4 linked regions of the Saccharomyces cerevisiae S288C genome follow. Changing the gene in region 1 together with any one later gene gives a genetic interaction. Each region holds a gene or a part of one and is shown in the gene's direction. Other genes may lie near its edges. The genes, in order: DCV1, DSF2, PHO5 and ALK2.

Region 1 (3,926 bases):
TAACGAAAGTGAAAAAGATCAATGGCTCGAAGAGTATAAGAAACATTTTCCTCCAAACTTGGAAAAAGGTGAAAACCCATCTTGTGTTTATAACTTGATCGGTGTCATTACACATCAAGGTGCCAATTCTGAGTCTGGACACTATCAAGCTTTCATAAGGGACGAACTGGACGAAAATAAATGGTACAAATTTAATGATGATAAAGTTAGCGTTGTTGAAAAGGAAAAAATTGAATCTTTAGCCGGTGGGGGCGAAAGTGATAGTGCACTGATCTTAATGTATAAAGGATTTGGTCTGTAAGTCCATTTTTCATTTTTTCAAAATTAATAGTTTTTTCGGAATATACATATACATTTTTTTACATACACATAAAAATATTTCTCTCCCTTTTACGTTCATCCGCCAATCGATAAAAATGCATTTTATATACATGAAATGGCGAATTCTTTTTGGTCGAGTTTATGTATACTTTTTCTTATTCAACCCATAACGAGCTTCTTGAATTCTTCCATCTCTTCGTAACAATTCAATGGCTTGCCCTTATTGGCCAAAAGACACTCAGTCAATTTTGCCTTTATAGAAATGCTGCCGTTGTCGGTTTTTTTATCAGATTTACCTTTGGCACCCCCATATTTCTCCAACTTTTGTAACTCTAATTGATCAAATAATGTTAGTTTCTTGTTCAACGACTCGATTTGATTATTCAATGAACTTGATGATATTCCATCAACGGCATCCTTGTCGTCGTCTGATAATAGTGAATTGTTCAAAGTATCTTCAAACTTCTTTAACGTTTCAACTTCTAGGTTAGATAGCCTTTGTGAAACCTTCTTCTCAATGAACTTTTCTGCATTTTGCTTGGTGACATAGTCTGATTCCTTCGATGAATCCAATTGAGAAACCAAAGACTGTGAAAAATCGATCTGTGTTAGCGGAGTATAGACTTGTTGTTTTTCTGCACCAGCACCCACTTTGGAAGTGTTTGAACCCATGATTGACTCTGTATTAGTCGATATACCACCTTGTTTTTGTTCTTGAATTTTTTTTTGATTAGCAATCTCTTTGAAATGTTCCTCCTCACTTGTTTTTTCCTCTGCGTCTCATTGGAAGAAGAAATATATATATATGCGACATACCACGAATATTCGTAGTTTTTTACAACAAAAACGACTCTCGGTAGCCAAGTTGGTTTAAGGCGCAAGACTGTAATTTACCACTACGAAATCTTGAGATCGGGCGTTCGACTCGCCCCCGGGAGATATTTTTTTAAATCTTGCAGCTTTCAATATTTAAATATAAGTAATAAACCATCAGTTAAACAACAGAACAAGTATTTCTTAAATCTCATGAAAAATCTAATAATGTTATTTGCCGAATTTTATTATTGATTTGGTTGGTCTTCTTGATAATTCTGTGGGCGCTTTTTTTGTGACATATTAAAATTGCGAAATTGCAAACGAAAATATAAATATATATGAATGTTAATAAATAAATTATTTAATTGATGATTGAGGATGAAATACACTTTTATGATCTGTCCTTACGCGTAATAATTACAAGAAGGTGAGAAAATTGCCTTTTTTTGCTAATTTTTTTTTTTTGGTACCATATTCAATAATTGATGCTAAATTATAAATTGATTTTATTGTTTTCCTCTTTCCTACAATTAATCTCTTTTTCTGGCTTTATGATATGTTGTTTAACTTCACCAATAATTAGAAACTGGGGGCTGGCTCAAGCTGCTGGAGTTTCATATGGTACCTTTGGTTACTGTAAAACTTTGAATTCTTTTTCCTGCTCTCGAGTACGTTTAATATATAACACCTCGAAAGAAATATTACCTGGCCCTTCTCTTGAACGTTGGTGGCTGAGTCCTAAGGCAAGACATACAATAGGAGGACTTTTGATTTCGATACCGGTTGCTACATGTTTGACTTTCATTTCTTTTGCACTTCCCTTGGTTATTATTTTTCTTTTTCAGACTGGAGGAACTAATGTCTCACTTATTACTTCCAACGCTATATTACACATATTGACACTTTTATCAACTATTTTTGCATGCACCGTGATCCTGTTACTTTGCATGCACCGTGATCCTGTTACAATTTCATCCTTATACGACTTGGTGTGGCTGGCTAACTGTTCCCTGTTCCCTCTGCTCGTTATTGGCGTGCATTTTCTCAGTTTTAGGTTTGATACGTCTGCGCAGTCAGACAGAAAACATAGCTAAAGAAGCTAGTATAGAGAACGTAGACAGTATTCTCAAACTATATGGAACGAGTCAAACATCAAGTTCCCTTGGCGAAAATTATCCACAAACAACTAAGGGCACAGACCAATCTGTGTATGACATCACAAGTCTTTTTAATGATCTACCAAGGACCTTAGATCCCAATCAAGATAAACTGGCGGTAACAAATCAAGATGAACCACCGCCTGAAATCAAATCTCCATTGAAGCAAGCAGGTTTGGTGAGTTTCTTCGCTCCAAAGTTGAATGGTAAACAAATATTTTCTAGAAGGCATGTTGAAAATCAAAAATCCTTATCTTTGGATGAAATCAATATAACCGACTTACCTGCAAAGCAAGAAAATGTGGAAATGCCTACTGAAAAAAAAAAGGCAAATATTTTATATTATGAGGGAATCTCAAGCCATTCACAAGATAACTACGACCCTCCTTGGTTATTTGGCGTTGAGGCTACCCAATCAGCCGATTGCTTTAAAATATATTCAAAAAAAAATCATTGTCTCACAGAGCCCCGCCAATATCAACTACAACAACCAAATAATTACCAGGATCAAAGTGAGGTTCCTCATAACTCTTTCATTCCTTGGTATTCCCGAAGAAGACCAGTAGGATACAACCACAATTACAATCGCTACTACTCACAGACAACTCATGGTAACAGCGAACACTCCCGACAAACATTGCCACAGACCTACAACATACACAGCATGCTCCCCAGAAAGTACAAGCCCGCCTACAAAAAACAGGCACATCGTGTGAAGAGTAATCCACAACCAGCTTATACTTTCCAATGACAAAATAACAAGAATAAAGTACTATCCAATCTGCTTTTTTTGTACGCGTTTTGTTGGCGCGCCGCAATTTGAAAAATAAGAATAAAGTACTTCTTGCTACTATTTAATGATTCCATCCGTATTCCACATCGTTGACGTCTGAGTCTGATAGACTAGTATATAGAAAATAAAAATAAGATAGAGTAAATAGTATGCTACTTTTATCGAGCCCATCTTTTTGAGCTTAATTTCTGAAACAAAGAAAGGAAGTGCCCATTTTTCCTCTTAACGGTTTCTAAAATTACTGAAGAGAAAACAACTTTTAGATGTAATTTATTTACATTAACATTAGCAGTGACTACAGAGGACAGGTATGGCGGTATGGCGGTATTTGTTAACATTGACTTTCCTTATGCGTGGAAGTACTAGTAATATTCCCTCTCGGATCATAAAAGTGAAATATCGTGCTTCACGATTTGCTGAAACTTTAACAAATTCATTGAAATTACGTGAGTTTATACTAATGAATGGACTTAATTTCTTAAGATGGTGATATCTTCCACATTGGTTTCGGCCAACAAAACTATCACTTACCAAGTACTTCAAGCAAAGTTTGCAATCCCCTATTGTTTATGGATTCTCCATCCAATTCTATCCAGAATTTGCAGCAAGAAGCCCAGGGCAGCTCTTCCGCACAGCTTGCTGACCATGATCATGATCGCGTATCAATGGCTATGCCCTTACAAACCGATCAAAGTGTTAGTGTTTCACAATCTTCTGATAATTTAAGGAGATCAAGACGTGTTCCTAAGCCAAGAACGAGCATTTATGATGAATACGAGGAAGAGTTAAAGGAAAGGGCGAATAAACCCAAGAGGAAGAGACCTGCTCCTCCTAAGAAA
Region 2 (5,646 bases), on another chromosome or scaffold:
GGCCCCAGTGATCCTGAGAACCCACAAAACTGGCCCCTACTGAAAAAATCATTGGTAGTATTCCAAATAATGTTACTTACTTGCGTCACGTACATGGGATCCTCCATTTACACACCTGGCCAGGAATATATTCAAGAAGAGTTCCACGTTGGTCATGTAGTGGCAACATTAAATCTTTCTTTATATGTTCTTGGTTATGGTCTAGGTCCCATCATTTTTTCACCGCTATCAGAAACTGCACGCTATGGCCGTCTAAATCTGTACATGGTGACTTTATTTTTTTTCATGATCTTTCAAGTTGGTTGTGCTACTGTGCATAACATCGGCGGTTTAATCGTCATGCGTTTCATCAGTGGCATACTGTGCAGCCCATCGTTGGCCACTGGTGGCGGTACAGTGGCTGATATCATTTCACCAGAAATGGTTCCTCTCGTTTTAGGTATGTGGTCAGCCGGTGCTGTTGCTGCGCCAGTCTTGGCTCCCTTACTAGGCGCTGCTATGGTCGATGCTAAAAATTGGCGATTCATATTTTGGTTATTAATGTGGTTAAGTGCTGCCACTTTTATCTTGTTGGCATTTTTCTTCCCTGAAACACAACACCATAATATTTTGTACCGCCGTGCTTTGAAATTGAGAAAAGAAACTGGTGATGACAGGTACTATACTGAACAGGATAAACTCGATAGAGAAGTTGATGCAAGAACTTTTTTGATCAATACTTTGTATAGGCCTCTCAAAATGATTATCAAAGAGCCTGCAATTTTGGCTTTTGATCTCTATATCGCTGTTGCTTATGGTTGTTTCTACTTATTCTTTGAAGCATTCCCTATTGTATTTGTAGGTATATACCACTTCAGCTTAGTTGAAGTTGGCTTGGCCTATATGGGGTTTTGCGTAGGGTGCGTACTTGCTTATGGCTTATTCGGTATTTTAAACATGAGGATTATTGTACCACGTTTTAGAAACGGCACATTCACCCCGGAAGCTTTTTTAATCGTGGCAATGTGTGTCTGCTGGTGCCTGCCTCTGTCTTTGTTCTTATTTGGTTGGACTGCTCGAGTGCATTGGATTTTGCCAGTTATCTCGGAAGTTTTTTTTGTTTTAGCTGTCTTTAACATTTTCCAAGCAACTTTTGCATATTTGGCTACATGCTACCCAAAGTATGTTGCATCCGTTTTTGCAGGCAATGGTTTTTGTCGGGCTTCGTTTGCCTGTGCTTTTCCGTTGTTTGGTAGAGCAATGTATGACAATTTAGCTACTAAGAACTATCCTGTGGCATGGGGTTCGTCCTTAGTGGGGTTCCTAACTTTAGGTCTAGCTATTATCCCGTTTATACTTTATAAGTATGGGCCATCATTACGTACAAGATCTTCGTACACAGAGGAGTAGAAAGCCGATGTTCTTACCATGAAAATTTGAATTATAATAACACAATTTTACTTATCGTCCATCTGTCGACAAAGATGTTCCACATAAGTTTACGTAAAGTTTAGCAGTGAAATAAATACTGTTCATAATGAACTTCATTGTTTATAAAAGTTGTTGTTGCAAGTATTCTCATGTTTATTTATCGCAGACTTGAAATCTTTGAAGGAAGATCTAAGGTCTACACACTATCGGTTACTTTGTGACCCTTTGCTTACCATACGGATGAAAAAAGAAAGAGGAATTACTTGAGCCACAATATCCTTCACTCATATTTGAAAATAGTACTTACTAAAGAAATATGCAACCATTTATACACGTAAGAAGTTCAATTATCAAATAGAAATTAAGCAAAATACTCAATTGAATACAGAGCAAAAGGATTAGCCATACGTTCTAGCACATTTTATGGGCCTAAGACATCATTTCCAGTTAACAGATAATATATTTCTACATAAAAACTTGGCTGTTCCACTGTCAAAGCCAAAAAGAGTCATTTGGTCATGAGAGTAGCTATGTTTCTACGACGAATCGAAAAAAAATGCATACTATTGATATCAAAATCATGCAGAAGGAACACATATTCATATATAACTAATCAGAGGATAAATCCTCTTGCGAATAAAAAGTTTGCGATGTTCTGATGCTTCAGGATTTCCTCTTAATAAATTCATATTTGAAGAGCCAAAGAACCAAAAGAATTGTACAAATTTTCTTCATCTATGAGAGGCCTAAAGGTTCGGGTTTGCTGCTATGTATCCTTGCTAAATTTTGATTATATTATGGCATTTATCGCTATTGCGTTTGCTTGCTGTTGCGCAAAAAATAATACAAAATACCTGATAATGTAAACAACGTAAATAATACAGGAAGTGATGCAAGAGAAGCTGCACAAAACTGCAGCATGCCTCACTTCGAAAAAAAAAAAAAAAAGAAGGAAGTCAGAAGAAGCAAGCCGATCTAAGACAGCTATTACCTCTAACAAGTAAGTCATAGATCAGAACGGCAATACCAGCCAGTGTACAATACAGCTGCATTACAACATAGCGTTTCTTGAACTTTTAGGTGACTGCTGGAAAAAATGAACGCGTCTCATATCGTGTGCGATGGCAACACCGGATCCCTGCGCTCAGAACATTCCGTGGACACCCACTGTCACTTCTTCGAGCCCCACCATTCCTTTACGCAGCCTGCGTGTGTTTCTGCGCGTTAAAACAATTATCACAGAAGGCTCCGGACGAAGAGCGGCAGAAAGAACAACGGTGCAACCGTCGTTGAATTTGATTATCAAATCACCTTATCTGCCATCGTGTTCTAGTAGTCTTCCATTGTATTACCACGGACATTCAAAAATAGTTCTTCTTTAGCAACTCTTTTTTTCTGTTGCCATTGCTCTTTGCGATAGCACATTCTGTTCCTCAATGCTAAATATAGGTGGAACTTGTAGGAGCCTCGAGAAAAAACAGAAAATCTAGAAAAACAAACGGACTTTTACGTCACACGAAAAGTAATGAATCAAAATTTAAAAAACACTTCTTGGGCTGATCGAATAGGAAGCGACGATCAAGAAAGAAAAGCTAACTCTTCAGAGGTTTCACAAAGCCCACCACCCAATAATAGCTTCGAGTCATCAATGGATTCACAATTTAGCTATGCTCATTCAAATAAAAGTAGCATTTCATTCGAATCTATTCAAACCACGGAAAGACTTCTTGACAAATTAGACCTCAGCTTGGAAGATGAACTGATTCTGCAAGAAGCTTTATTAGAAGAAGAAAACGCGTCGAGAAATTCGCAACTGTCACAAACAAGTGGTCCAACATTATGTATGCCTGCGTCGGAATTCCCTTCATTAAGGTATAGAACTAATCCCTCTCCAACATATATACAAGCTAGAGATCGTTCTCTTATCATAGACAATTTAAAAGAAAAGGATTCCACTTTGAGAGGCAAATACTCTTCCGGTAAAGTGGAAAGGCATTTGCCCGTGAAGTCGAGATACTCTTATATCGTCGAAGAAGATTATGACTCTGAGACTTTTAGTGGCATGAAACCCCAAATGAATAGAAATGAGAAAGATTATAAGTACCCAAACCTTGAAAATGGCAATAGAAGCACAAATAGCCCTAATCCTTTCAACTTCGAGAAATATAGGATTGAAAATACTAGACTGCACCATCTTTATCCTACGCTGATATCAGACAATAATACTAGCGTTGACAATAATGCTAATAGTAAGAATAACAGAACTACTAGTAATAATATTAATACATCTACAAAAACTGACAGAATATCCGAGAAGCAGAGTTGCCCCAATGAGTTCACAACCACGCAAAAGAGTAATTGTCTTTATCGGAACGGAAGTTCAACAAGCACCAACACCTCCTTTTCTGAAGTTGGACAACTATCAAAGCCGAAAACTCAGTCTTCTTTTGAAAGTGAATCATCCTCATTCTCCAAACTCAAGTTAACTAAGAGTGATACAACACCCATCAAACCATCTCCTAAACGGTCTAATTCCTCTACCTCGACGATAACGAAAACAAATACCATGACAAATGATATTTCATTACCTCCAACGCCACCATATAAAGCTCATAAAAAAAAAACGTCACTAAATTCGCTAAAAAAACTTTTTAAATCTCCTAGGACAAGAGCAAAAAATAAGAAAGACCTTGAGTCTGAAGGATCAAGCCCTATCCGGTCTGCCACCAATTCATTGGACTTCTCTGGGGAGAATATTCAACTTCCATCTACTTCAAGTACCATTAATAATTCCAGTCCACATTTAGCTAGGTATATTTTTCCTCCAAACCCAGTTTTCCATTTTAAAACAGCATCAACACCTCAGTCATCCACGGATAAAAAAAAGAACAGTAAAGCACGTCCAAATAGGACTCATTTGAGAACTTTCTCGGATTTCCATACAACGGAAAAAGATTCAAAAATAGGTGAACTAAGTGCACTAACAGAACAATCAAATAAGCCCTACCACCCGAAAGTTAGAAGAAGAACACTTTCTTTAGATGGTATGTTGCCCAATAATTCGACGCAATGCATGGATTCCTTCAGTCATAAAAAAGAAGGATCGAACGCAACAAGCAAGTGCGGGAAGCTTAAATTTCACCCAGAACCTTATGATAATGATGAATCTTCACACATCGGACAGGCAATTACTATGCGTCATCAAGGCAAACTTGAAGAATCTGCACAACGACTGAAAAAAGCCTGCGCGTGCGGAAACAAAACTGCGTTTCTGTTATATGGACTAGCCCTGCGACATGGCTGCGGAGTGGACAAGAACTTGAAATTATCATTAGGATATTTAATGGCTGCCACTGATATCAAATCCTTTGCTGCTGAGGTTCTTGATTTAGATATAAATCCGTTAAATTTTGCTTCAATGGACGATATCCCTGATATAGCGCCTGAACCAACAGCACCTGCCTTGTACGAATGTGGTATGGCATATTTAAAGGGTCTTGGGATGGATCATCCCGACGAGCGAAAAGGTTTGAAATTTTTGGAAAAAGCTGCTCTATTAGGCCATGTAGACTCAATGTGCTTAAGCGGGACAATTTGGTCCAAAACTTCAAACGTAAAGAAAAGGGATCTCGCCAGAGCTGCTGCATGGTTTAGGATAGCCGATAAAAAAGGTGCAAATCTATTAGGTTCAGATTGGATTTATAAGGAAAAGTACATGAAACAAGGTCCGAAATAAAGATAAAGAAACGTTGTATACATAAAAGCTTACAGAAAGGCTTAAAAGGAAAGGCATTTATTTTCGTACCATATATCTCACAAAAATAGATAGATAGATAGATATGATATTTTATGAATGGTATCACTTATTCCGCTTGTGAAAAACTTCAAAACTCCGTAAATATATGAACTCTTTTCTTTCAAAAAATTTACTTAACTTTCTATATACGAGGAGTAGAGTATTTATACATGCAATAGATATATACAATCATTACAAAGAATCATATTCAATTCTAAGTATCGTCCACGATTACTATTGCTTTAAATGCTGTTTGGCAAATTCCCAATTGTGATGGTCTTCAAAACAGTGTAATCTTCAATACCATATAGCGAACCTTCTCTTCCAAATCCTGACTCTTTAACACCACCAAATGGTATAGAACAATCCGAAAAAACACCTGTATTACATGAAACCATACCAGTTTCCAAAGCTTCAGACACAGTGTATAAAGTGTTGAC
Region 3 (4,658 bases), on another chromosome or scaffold:
CAGATTCCATTGCGCCTCCTACGGTACCAGAAGAGGTAATATAAGCAGCAGATGTATTTCTACCAACATTTGGACCCGACAGTACTAGATCAAACGGTTCATTAGACAATAGGTGCAGCCCGATGTTTGCGCACGATGCTGGAGTTCCATCGATTAATATCCACTCAATTGTATCTTTCGGAATTTCAGCATTGAGAACATAAGGTAATTTAGAGTTTTCTGACCTAATTTGTGGCTGGATAAATGGGCCCCAAAAAGTATTGTCTTCAGCGTCAACTTTAGAATATATGAATTGAGCTGTCAAATTTTTACCAGCAAGATGAGCCTTACCCACCCATGATTTCTGGACATGAGGTACACAAACCGTGATTTTCCATTCAGGATAATTTCTTTTAATGTGCTGAATAAAAGGTCTAATGTATGGTGAAAACTGATCACTTAAGGGACCATCATCGTTAGTTATTAAAACCCGCATCTTAAAAGAAATATTTATTGTTTCCGAATTTTTAATGTCAGAGATCAAGTCAGAGCGGCTGCCTTTACCGTAATTTTCAATTGCTAAATACAATGTTCCTTGGTTATCCCATCGCCAATAATTTTTATTTTTACCACTGTTGAAGAAGCGAAAGAAAAAAAAAGGGAAAATCAAAACATTCCCTGTGCACTAATAGAAGAAAACAAGAGACTCCGTCCCTCTTTAGTGAGAAAATTGACCAGAGATGGTTTTTGTCCATCTTTTCGCAAAAAATTAGTTCTATTTTTTACACATCGGACTGATAAGTTACTACTGCACATTGGCATTAGCTAGGAGGGCATCCAAGTAATAATTGCGAGAAACGTGACCCAACTTTGTTGTAGGTCCGCTCCTTCTAATAATCGCTTGTATCTCTACATATGTTCTATTTACTGACCGAAAGTAGCTCGCTACAATAATAATGTTGACCTGATGTCAGTCCCCACGCTAATAGCGGCGTGTCGCACGCTCTCTTTACAGGACGCCGGAGACCGGCATTACAAGGATCCGAAAGTTGTATTCAACAAGAATGCGCAAATATGTCAACGTATTTGGAAGTCATCTTATGTGCGCTGCTTTAATGTTTTCTCATGTAAGCGGACGTCGTCTATAAACTTCAAACGAAGGTAAAAGGTTCATAGCGCTTTTTCTTTGTCTGCACAAAGAAATATATATTAAATTAGCACGTTTTCGCATAGAACGCAACTGCACAATGCCAAAAAAAGTAAAAGTGATTAAAAGAGTTAATTGAATAGGCAATCTCTAAATGAATCGATACAACCTTGGCACTCACACGTGGGACTAGCACAGACTAAATTTATGATTCTGGTCCCTGTTTTCGAAGAGATCGCACATGCCAAATTATCAAATTGGTCACCTTACTTGGCAAGGCATATACCCATTTGGGATAAGGGTAAACATCTTTGAATTGTCGAAATGAAACGTATATAAGCGCTGATGTTTTGCTAAGTCGAGGTTAGTATGGCTTCATCTCTCATGAGAATAAGAACAACAACAAATAGAGCAAGCAAATTCGAGATTACCAATGTTTAAATCTGTTGTTTATTCAATTTTAGCCGCTTCTTTGGCCAATGCAGGTACCATTCCCTTAGGCAAACTAGCCGATGTCGACAAGATTGGTACCCAAAAAGATATCTTCCCATTTTTGGGTGGTGCCGGACCATACTACTCTTTCCCTGGCGACTATGGTATTTCTCGTGATTTGCCTGAAGGTTGTGAAATGAAGCAACTGCAAATGGTTGGTAGACATGGTGAAAGATACCCTACTGTCAGTCTGGCTAAGACTATCAAGAGTACATGGTATAAGTTGAGCAATTACACTCGTCAATTCAACGGCTCATTGTCATTCTTGAACGATGATTACGAGTTTTTCATCCGTGATGACGATGATTTGGAAATGGAAACCACTTTTGCCAACTCGGACGATGTTTTGAACCCATACACTGGTGAAATGAACGCCAAGAGACATGCTCGTGACTTCTTGGCTCAATACGGTTACATGGTCGAAAACCAAACCAGTTTCGCCGTTTTTACCTCTAATTCTAAGAGATGTCATGACACTGCTCAATATTTCATTGATGGTTTAGGTGACCAATTCAACATCACCTTGCAGACTGTCAGTGAAGCTGAATCCGCTGGTGCCAACACTTTGAGTGCTTGTAACTCATGTCCTGCTTGGGACTACGATGCCAATGATGACATTGTAAATGAATACGACACAACCTACTTGGATGACATTGCCAAGAGATTGAACAAGGAAAACAAGGGTTTGAACTTGACCTCAACTGACGCTAGTACTTTATTCTCGTGGTGTGCATTTGAAGTGAACGCTAAAGGTTACAGTGATGTCTGTGATATTTTCACCAAGGATGAATTAGTCCATTACTCCTACTACCAAGACTTGCACACTTATTACCATGAGGGTCCAGGTTACGACATTATCAAGTCTGTCGGTTCCAACTTGTTCAATGCCTCAGTCAAATTATTAAAGCAAAGTGAGATTCAAGACCAAAAGGTTTGGTTGAGTTTTACCCACGATACCGATATCCTAAACTTTTTGACCACCGCTGGTATAATTGACGACAAAAACAACTTAACTGCCGAATACGTTCCATTCATGGGCAACACTTTCCACAGATCCTGGTACGTTCCTCAAGGTGCTCGTGTCTACACCGAAAAATTCCAATGTTCTAACGACACCTACGTCAGATACGTCATTAACGATGCTGTTGTTCCAATTGAAACCTGTTCCACTGGTCCAGGGTTCTCTTGTGAAATCAATGACTTCTACGACTATGCTGAAAAGAGAGTAGCCGGTACTGACTTCCTAAAGGTCTGTAACGTCAGCAGCGTCAGTAACTCTACTGAATTGACCTTCTACTGGGACTGGAACACTACTCATTACAACGCCAGTCTATTGAGACAATAGTTTTGTATAACTAAATAATATTGGAAACTAAATACGAATACCCAAATTTTTTATCTAAATTTTGCCGAAAGATTAAAATCTGCAGAGATATCCGAAACAGGTAAATGGATGTTTCAATCCCTGTAGTCAGTCAGGAACCCATATTATATTACAGTATTAGTCGCCGCTTAGGCACGCCTTTAATTAGCAAAATCAAACCTTAAGTGCATATGCCGTATAAGGGAAACTCAAAGAACTGGCATCGCAAAAATGAAAAAAAGGAAGAGTGAAAAAAAAAAAATTCAAAAGAAATTTACTAAATAATACCAGTTTGGGAAATAGTAAACAGCTTTGAGTAGTCCTATGCAACATATATAAGTGCTTAAATTTGCTGGATGGAAGTCAATTATGCCTTGATTATCATAAAAAAAATACTACAGTAAAGAAAGGGCCATTCCAAATTACCTATGTTTAAGTCTGTTGTTTATTCGGTTCTAGCCGCTGCTTTAGTTAATGCAGGTACAATTCCCCTCGGAGAGTTAGCCGATGTTGCCAAAATTGGCACTCAGGAAGACATATTCCCATTCCTGGGTGGTGCCGGGCCATACTTCTCTTTCCCTGGCGACTATGGTATTTCTCGTGACTTGCCTGAAGGTTGTGAAATGAAACAATTGCAAATGCTTGCCAGACATGGTGAAAGATACCCAACTTACAGTAAAGGTGCTACCATCATGAAAACATGGTATAAGTTGAGCAATTACACACGTCAATTCAACGGCTCATTGTCATTCTTGAACGATGATTACGAGTTTTTCATCCGTGATGACGATGATTTGGAAATGGAAACCACTTTTGCCAACTCAGACAATGTTTTGAATCCATACACTGGTGAGATGGATGCTAAGAGACATGCTCGTGAGTTTTTAGCGCAATATGGCTACATGTTCGAAAATCAAACCAGTTTCCCAATTTTCGCCGCTAGTTCTGAAAGGGTTCATGACACTGCTCAATATTTCATTGATGGTTTAGGTGACCAATTCAACATCTCCTTGCAGACTGTCAGTGAAGCCATGTCCGCCGGCGCAAACACTTTGAGTGCTGGTAATGCGTGCCCAGGATGGGATGAAGATGCTAACGATGACATTTTGGACAAATACGATACCACATACTTGGATGACATTGCCAAGAGATTAAACAAAGAAAACAAGGGTTTGAATTTGACCTCAAAGGACGCCAACACTTTGTTTGCATGGTGTGCATACGAATTGAACGCTAGAGGCTACAGTGATGTTTGTGATATCTTCACCGAAGATGAATTGGTACGTTACTCATACGGCCAGGACCTGGTATCGTTTTACCAGGATGGACCAGGTTATGATATGATCAGATCCGTCGGTGCCAACTTGTTTAACGCTACTTTGAAGTTGTTAAAGCAAAGTGAAACTCAAGACTTAAAAGTCTGGTTGAGTTTTACCCACGATACCGATATCCTAAACTATTTGACCACCGCTGGTATAATTGACGACAAAAACAACTTAACTGCCGAATACGTTCCATTCATGGGCAACACCTTCCATAAGTCCTGGTACGTTCCTCAAGGTGCTCGTGTCTACACCGAAAAATTCCAATGTTCTAACGACACCTACGTCAGATACGTCATTAACGATGCTGTCGTTCCAATTGAAACCTGTTCCACCGGCCCAGGGTTCTCTTGTG
Region 4 (4,062 bases), on another chromosome or scaffold:
TCTTGGAGGAAAAAAATGGATTAGCAAGTAAAATCGCACAGGCCGTCTTAAACAAGAGAATTGGTGAAAATACTGCCAGGGAAGAGGAAGAGGAAGAAGAAGAGGAAGAAGAAGAAGAGGAAGAAGAAGAAGAAGGGAAAGAAGGAGATGCGTAGATGCCATTTACTGACGGTGAAGATACTAGAAACTAAATCTTTCGCCGTTCTATTTATGTAATAAACCCATTATTGCTCATTGGGAGTTGTAAATATTAATGCTCAATGTTTATGTATATCCCTCGCACAGGGGCTTTTTATTTCTTGAGGGGGGGACTAATTGTATAATTGTATGTTTTATAAAAAAGTATATTGCTCTTTTACGACTTTTGGTCTGGTCCCCTATGCTACTAATAACATTTTATTCTCTTCAAACTTCAACGTTCAACCTGCTTTGCCGAGACGGCGATTAGTATCCTACCCAACTGAACCTTTTCTTTTTGTTTCGCTTTTTGTTATACAATGCAATTTCGTCTCGCTGTAGTCTTTGGGTATGTCCTGTCAAATTCGTCACTACATTTTCAAAAGTTGTCTTATCCTTTAGGAGGTCTCGCTGTTGTTTCTTCAATGATCTTGATTTACTAACCAAAAAGTCAATGGATTGACACAATGTATCGTGGTATTGGCGTAAAGATTCTTCATCCATACTAGTAAAATCTGCCATAAGCAATTGCGGTATATGCTGCTCTTGCTCACGCTCCTCTTCCTTTTGAAGAGATTTTAAAGTCATTGGTGGTGTATAGTCAATTTTGAAATTATCCCTCAGGAAGAGACCAGTAGCCGTTTGCTCATTTTTCTCCACTGCATCGCATATCCTTTTGAACAACTCATCATTCAACGGTTCTTCCTCCCTCTTCGTACCAACACCCTCAGAGCCATTATTATCCGATAATCTCAAAATGTGGAGCAAGTTTCTGCGTATATGAGATTTATTCCATATGAATGGCTGTAACACAGGATCTAATTGTACGAGTTGTTCATAAATGACATGGGGTCGTTCATCTTCAATAAGTTTGCTCAGCTTGAAACAGTCATTCTTTATGGTTTCTTCTTCCAGGTCAAATTCTCCCTTTGGTAGTATCTTATTCAAGCAGTTATCTACTACAGATTCGGAAGACGTCGTTAAAGTAGAATTCTGGTTATAGAGGTCATTTTCAACTGAGGCATCTGAAAAATTCCCAAAATCATCACTAGAATCACTTTCTGCATCTAATGCATTTGTGACAGGTTCTATCTGATCTCTATCGCTCATTTGCTTGCTTTGAAAGAGGTGCCTTTTTCTATCTTGCTACACCTTAAATTCTCGTTTGTGATACGCCTAACGTTTTTTTTTTTTTTCAGTTTTGATAGCAATTCGCGAAACTTTTTGTAACATCTTCTCTTCTCGAAAAGCGAAAATAGTAAACAATAACTTAAAGCGTATTGGTATTAATATATTTAGTTGTAGTAAAATCATTTCACCAAACACACATACATGCGCTATTTGTATTGAGAAAATGAATTTTGATGCGGTAGCAGATCAACAGATGACTGACAGAAGGTATTTTGCTCTCGAAGTAGCAGAAAGCGATGATGCCGACAGCTCATTAAATTCTTCATCCATGGGAAGCCCCGCAGTGGATGTAGGAAGAAAAGTTTACAAAATCACTTCGCACAAGGGTTCAGCAGAAGATGAGAGTCAATCCTTTTTTACTTCTTCAGATTCTCCAACATCCAAAACAAGGCCTGTAGGTAAAACCATCGAAAACGATGATTACTATGGTAAAAGATCTTCTACAGGTTCATCGCTCAAACAACTCTTCAATAAAATTAATATTAATGATACCGCTCACTCTTCAAACAAAGAAAATGTATCTCAGTCGGTGCTATCGGAAAACAAGCTGCTCTCTCCATCTAAAAGGTTGTCGAAGCAAGGTCTTACAAAGGTGACTAACTCCAAGTTTCGTACACCCTTGAGACCTATTTCAAACCAATCGACTTTATCAAGGGATGAGCCTGTTAAAGATTTTAGATCACTTAAGTTTCGGAGCGGTAGTGATTTCAAATGCTGGGGTGACGAGAAGACAAGTTCTCATGTTCATTCATCCAGTGTGAACTCAGTTAATTCCTTTACTTCTACCACCTCTTCTTCAAAGTGGAAGTTCTGGAAAAATGATAACCTATTGTCGAGGTCGCTATCTTCCAGATCTGTGAATGACCAAGATCCGAACTTTGTTCAGCCAAAACCAACCAATTCGTTACAAAAGAAGTCTTCAATTTCAAGTTTTCACAATTCTATTTTTGGTGGTGGCAAACACACAGAGAAGAAGAGGAATTCTGGATTTATTATGCCCGATCATCAGAGCACGAAGGAGCTAAACCACAAACATTCATCATCGAACCTTTCCTTTAGAAGTTTGAAGCATAAAACATCACATTCTTCACTAAATAAGCTCAAAGTAAGGCGTAAAGGAAATACACAAGAACTGAATCATCCGATCAAAAAAACTTGCCAAATATCATTGCCTGTTCCAGACCAAGTCTCAAAGGACAAGATTCAACTGAAATTGAAAAATTCAACATCATTGGCATCCTTATCTTCAGAAGTCACTCCCATAAACACTTTGGACTACAATGATTCAATTTTGCAACAAATATTACAACTTTGTGATGTTAAGTATATATTACATGATCTACGTGAAGCTCAGTCATTAGGCTTGTTTACGTTGAATACTAGATCGGTTCAGCTGTCTCATAACTTTTGGCAAACTTATCATAGCGATATGCAAACTTCACTCATTTGCAAGAAAGTATGTCTAGGGGCTCTAAGTGATTTGACTACTTCAAACTTGATATCCTTACATGAATTGAAATCATTACGGTTAATACAAGGAACTAGCGGTGTCGCCAATTTACTGCAAGCTTATGTTGTGCCCTCAAATCAATGTGAAAATGACCAAAACTTGATACTGTACTTATTTTTCAAATACCAGGGAACTCCTCTATCAAGGTGCTCTAACATTGATTACTCTCAAGCATTGTCTATTTTCTGGCAGTGCAGCAGTATTTTATATGTTGCTGAATCCAAATTTCAGCTCGAACACAGGAATCTAACTTTGGACCATATTTTGATAGACTCTAAAGGGAATGTTACTTTAATTGATATGAAGTGCTGTCGTTTCTTGAATATAGACAACAATAAGGCTTCCTATACAAGATTAGACCATCATTATTTCTTCCAAGGCCGGGGGACTCTTCAATTCGAGATATATGAACTGATGAGAAGCATGCTGCCTCAGCCAATATCCTGGGCTACATTTGAACCAAGAACAAACCTATTATGGTTATATCACCTAAGTAGCAGCCTGCTAAAAATGGCCAAAAAAGCCGTAGTCAGCGGCGCTTTGAACCGGGAAGAAAATATCTTAATCGAGTTGACGCACTTACTCGATCCTGCTCGAAAACATTCCAAAACAATTTTCAAAAAGGAACTTGTTATAAGAACTTGCGGTGATTTGTTATCTTTGAAGGGAGAAATAATGCAGTAAAGACATCGTAGTAATAAGGTGCAAGCTTTTGTATCCTTCTTAATGATTTGTAAGCAAAAAAAAATTACGTACATCAATTTGTAATGGAAAGGAAATAAATAGTATAATATGAACACTCTTTCTGAGAACAGTTATCTTTAGCTTGCCCCACAAACTGAAAGCACATTTTTAAAATGTTTTACAGATGAAAATGAACCCTTGTACTGTTATCCTCTGTAAGTCGTTATTTTTCTTTTGCCTTTTTCAGGTTGACTGCTACTGTAATCGTAAGAATATTCAAAATCAATCATCTCGCATCGCAACAAAAATAAAACGAAGTTACTGGTTTAGGTGGCAGAAACATATAATATTGGCGAACATTCATAAAATAATTAAGGCTTACCAACGAAGCATAATAAAATTGCCAGTAACCAAAGGTCTCTGATAACATGAAAGTGGTAAAGTTTCCATGGTTGGCTCACCGTGAAGAATCGCGAAAATATGAAATATACACAGTCGAT

The links.
Region 2: mutations in DCV1 (region 1) and DSF2 together harm fitness more than expected from each alone (negative genetic interaction), as found in Saccharomyces cerevisiae (2 studies listed by BioGRID).
Region 3: mutations in DCV1 (region 1) and PHO5 together harm fitness more than expected from each alone (negative genetic interaction), as found in Saccharomyces cerevisiae (2 studies listed by BioGRID).
Region 4: mutations in DCV1 (region 1) and ALK2 together harm fitness more than expected from each alone (negative genetic interaction), as found in Saccharomyces cerevisiae (2 studies listed by BioGRID).

The regions. Positions count from the first base shown.
Region 1 is NC_001138.5:166,266-170,191, forward strand, and holds DCV1 (Dcv1p), read left to right. Parts: upstream 1-1,622; coding exon 1,623-2,231; downstream 2,232-3,926. Other genes in the region: ubiquitin-specific protease UBP6, read left to right, coding at 1-301; MIC19 (Mic19p), read right to left, coding at 481-993; YFR012W-A (uncharacterized protein), read left to right, coding at 2,959-3,045; IOC3 (Ioc3p), read left to right, coding at 3,657-3,926.
Region 2 is NC_001134.8:248,306-253,951, reverse strand, and holds DSF2 (Dsf2p), read left to right. Parts: upstream 1-2,935; coding exon 2,936-5,146; downstream 5,147-5,646. Other genes in the region: FLR1 (Flr1p), read left to right, coding at 1-1,389; UGA2 (succinate-semialdehyde dehydrogenase (NAD(P)(+))), read right to left, coding at 5,449-5,646.
Region 3 is NC_001134.8:427,853-432,510, reverse strand, and holds PHO5 (acid phosphatase PHO5), read left to right. Parts: upstream 1-1,559; coding exon 1,560-2,963; downstream 2,964-4,658. Other genes in the region: PBY1 (putative tubulin tyrosine ligase), read right to left, coding at 1-475; acid phosphatase PHO3, read left to right, coding at 3,410-4,658. UniProt on the Saccharomyces cerevisiae protein: Partially mediates extracellular nucleotide derived phosphate hydrolysis along with NPP1 and NPP2.
Region 4 is NC_001134.8:205,663-209,724, forward strand, and holds ALK2 (protein kinase ALK2), read left to right. Parts: upstream 1-1,531; coding exon 1,532-3,562; downstream 3,563-4,062. Other genes in the region: bifunctional glycerol-3-phosphate/glycerone-phosphate O-acyltransferase SCT1, read left to right, coding at 1-155; LAA2 (Laa2p), read right to left, coding at 445-1,287; YBL008W-A (uncharacterized protein), read left to right, coding at 3,747-3,986; HIR1 (Hir1p), read left to right, coding at 3,991-4,062. UniProt on the Saccharomyces cerevisiae protein: Serine/threonine haspin-like protein kinase involved in cell cycle regulation.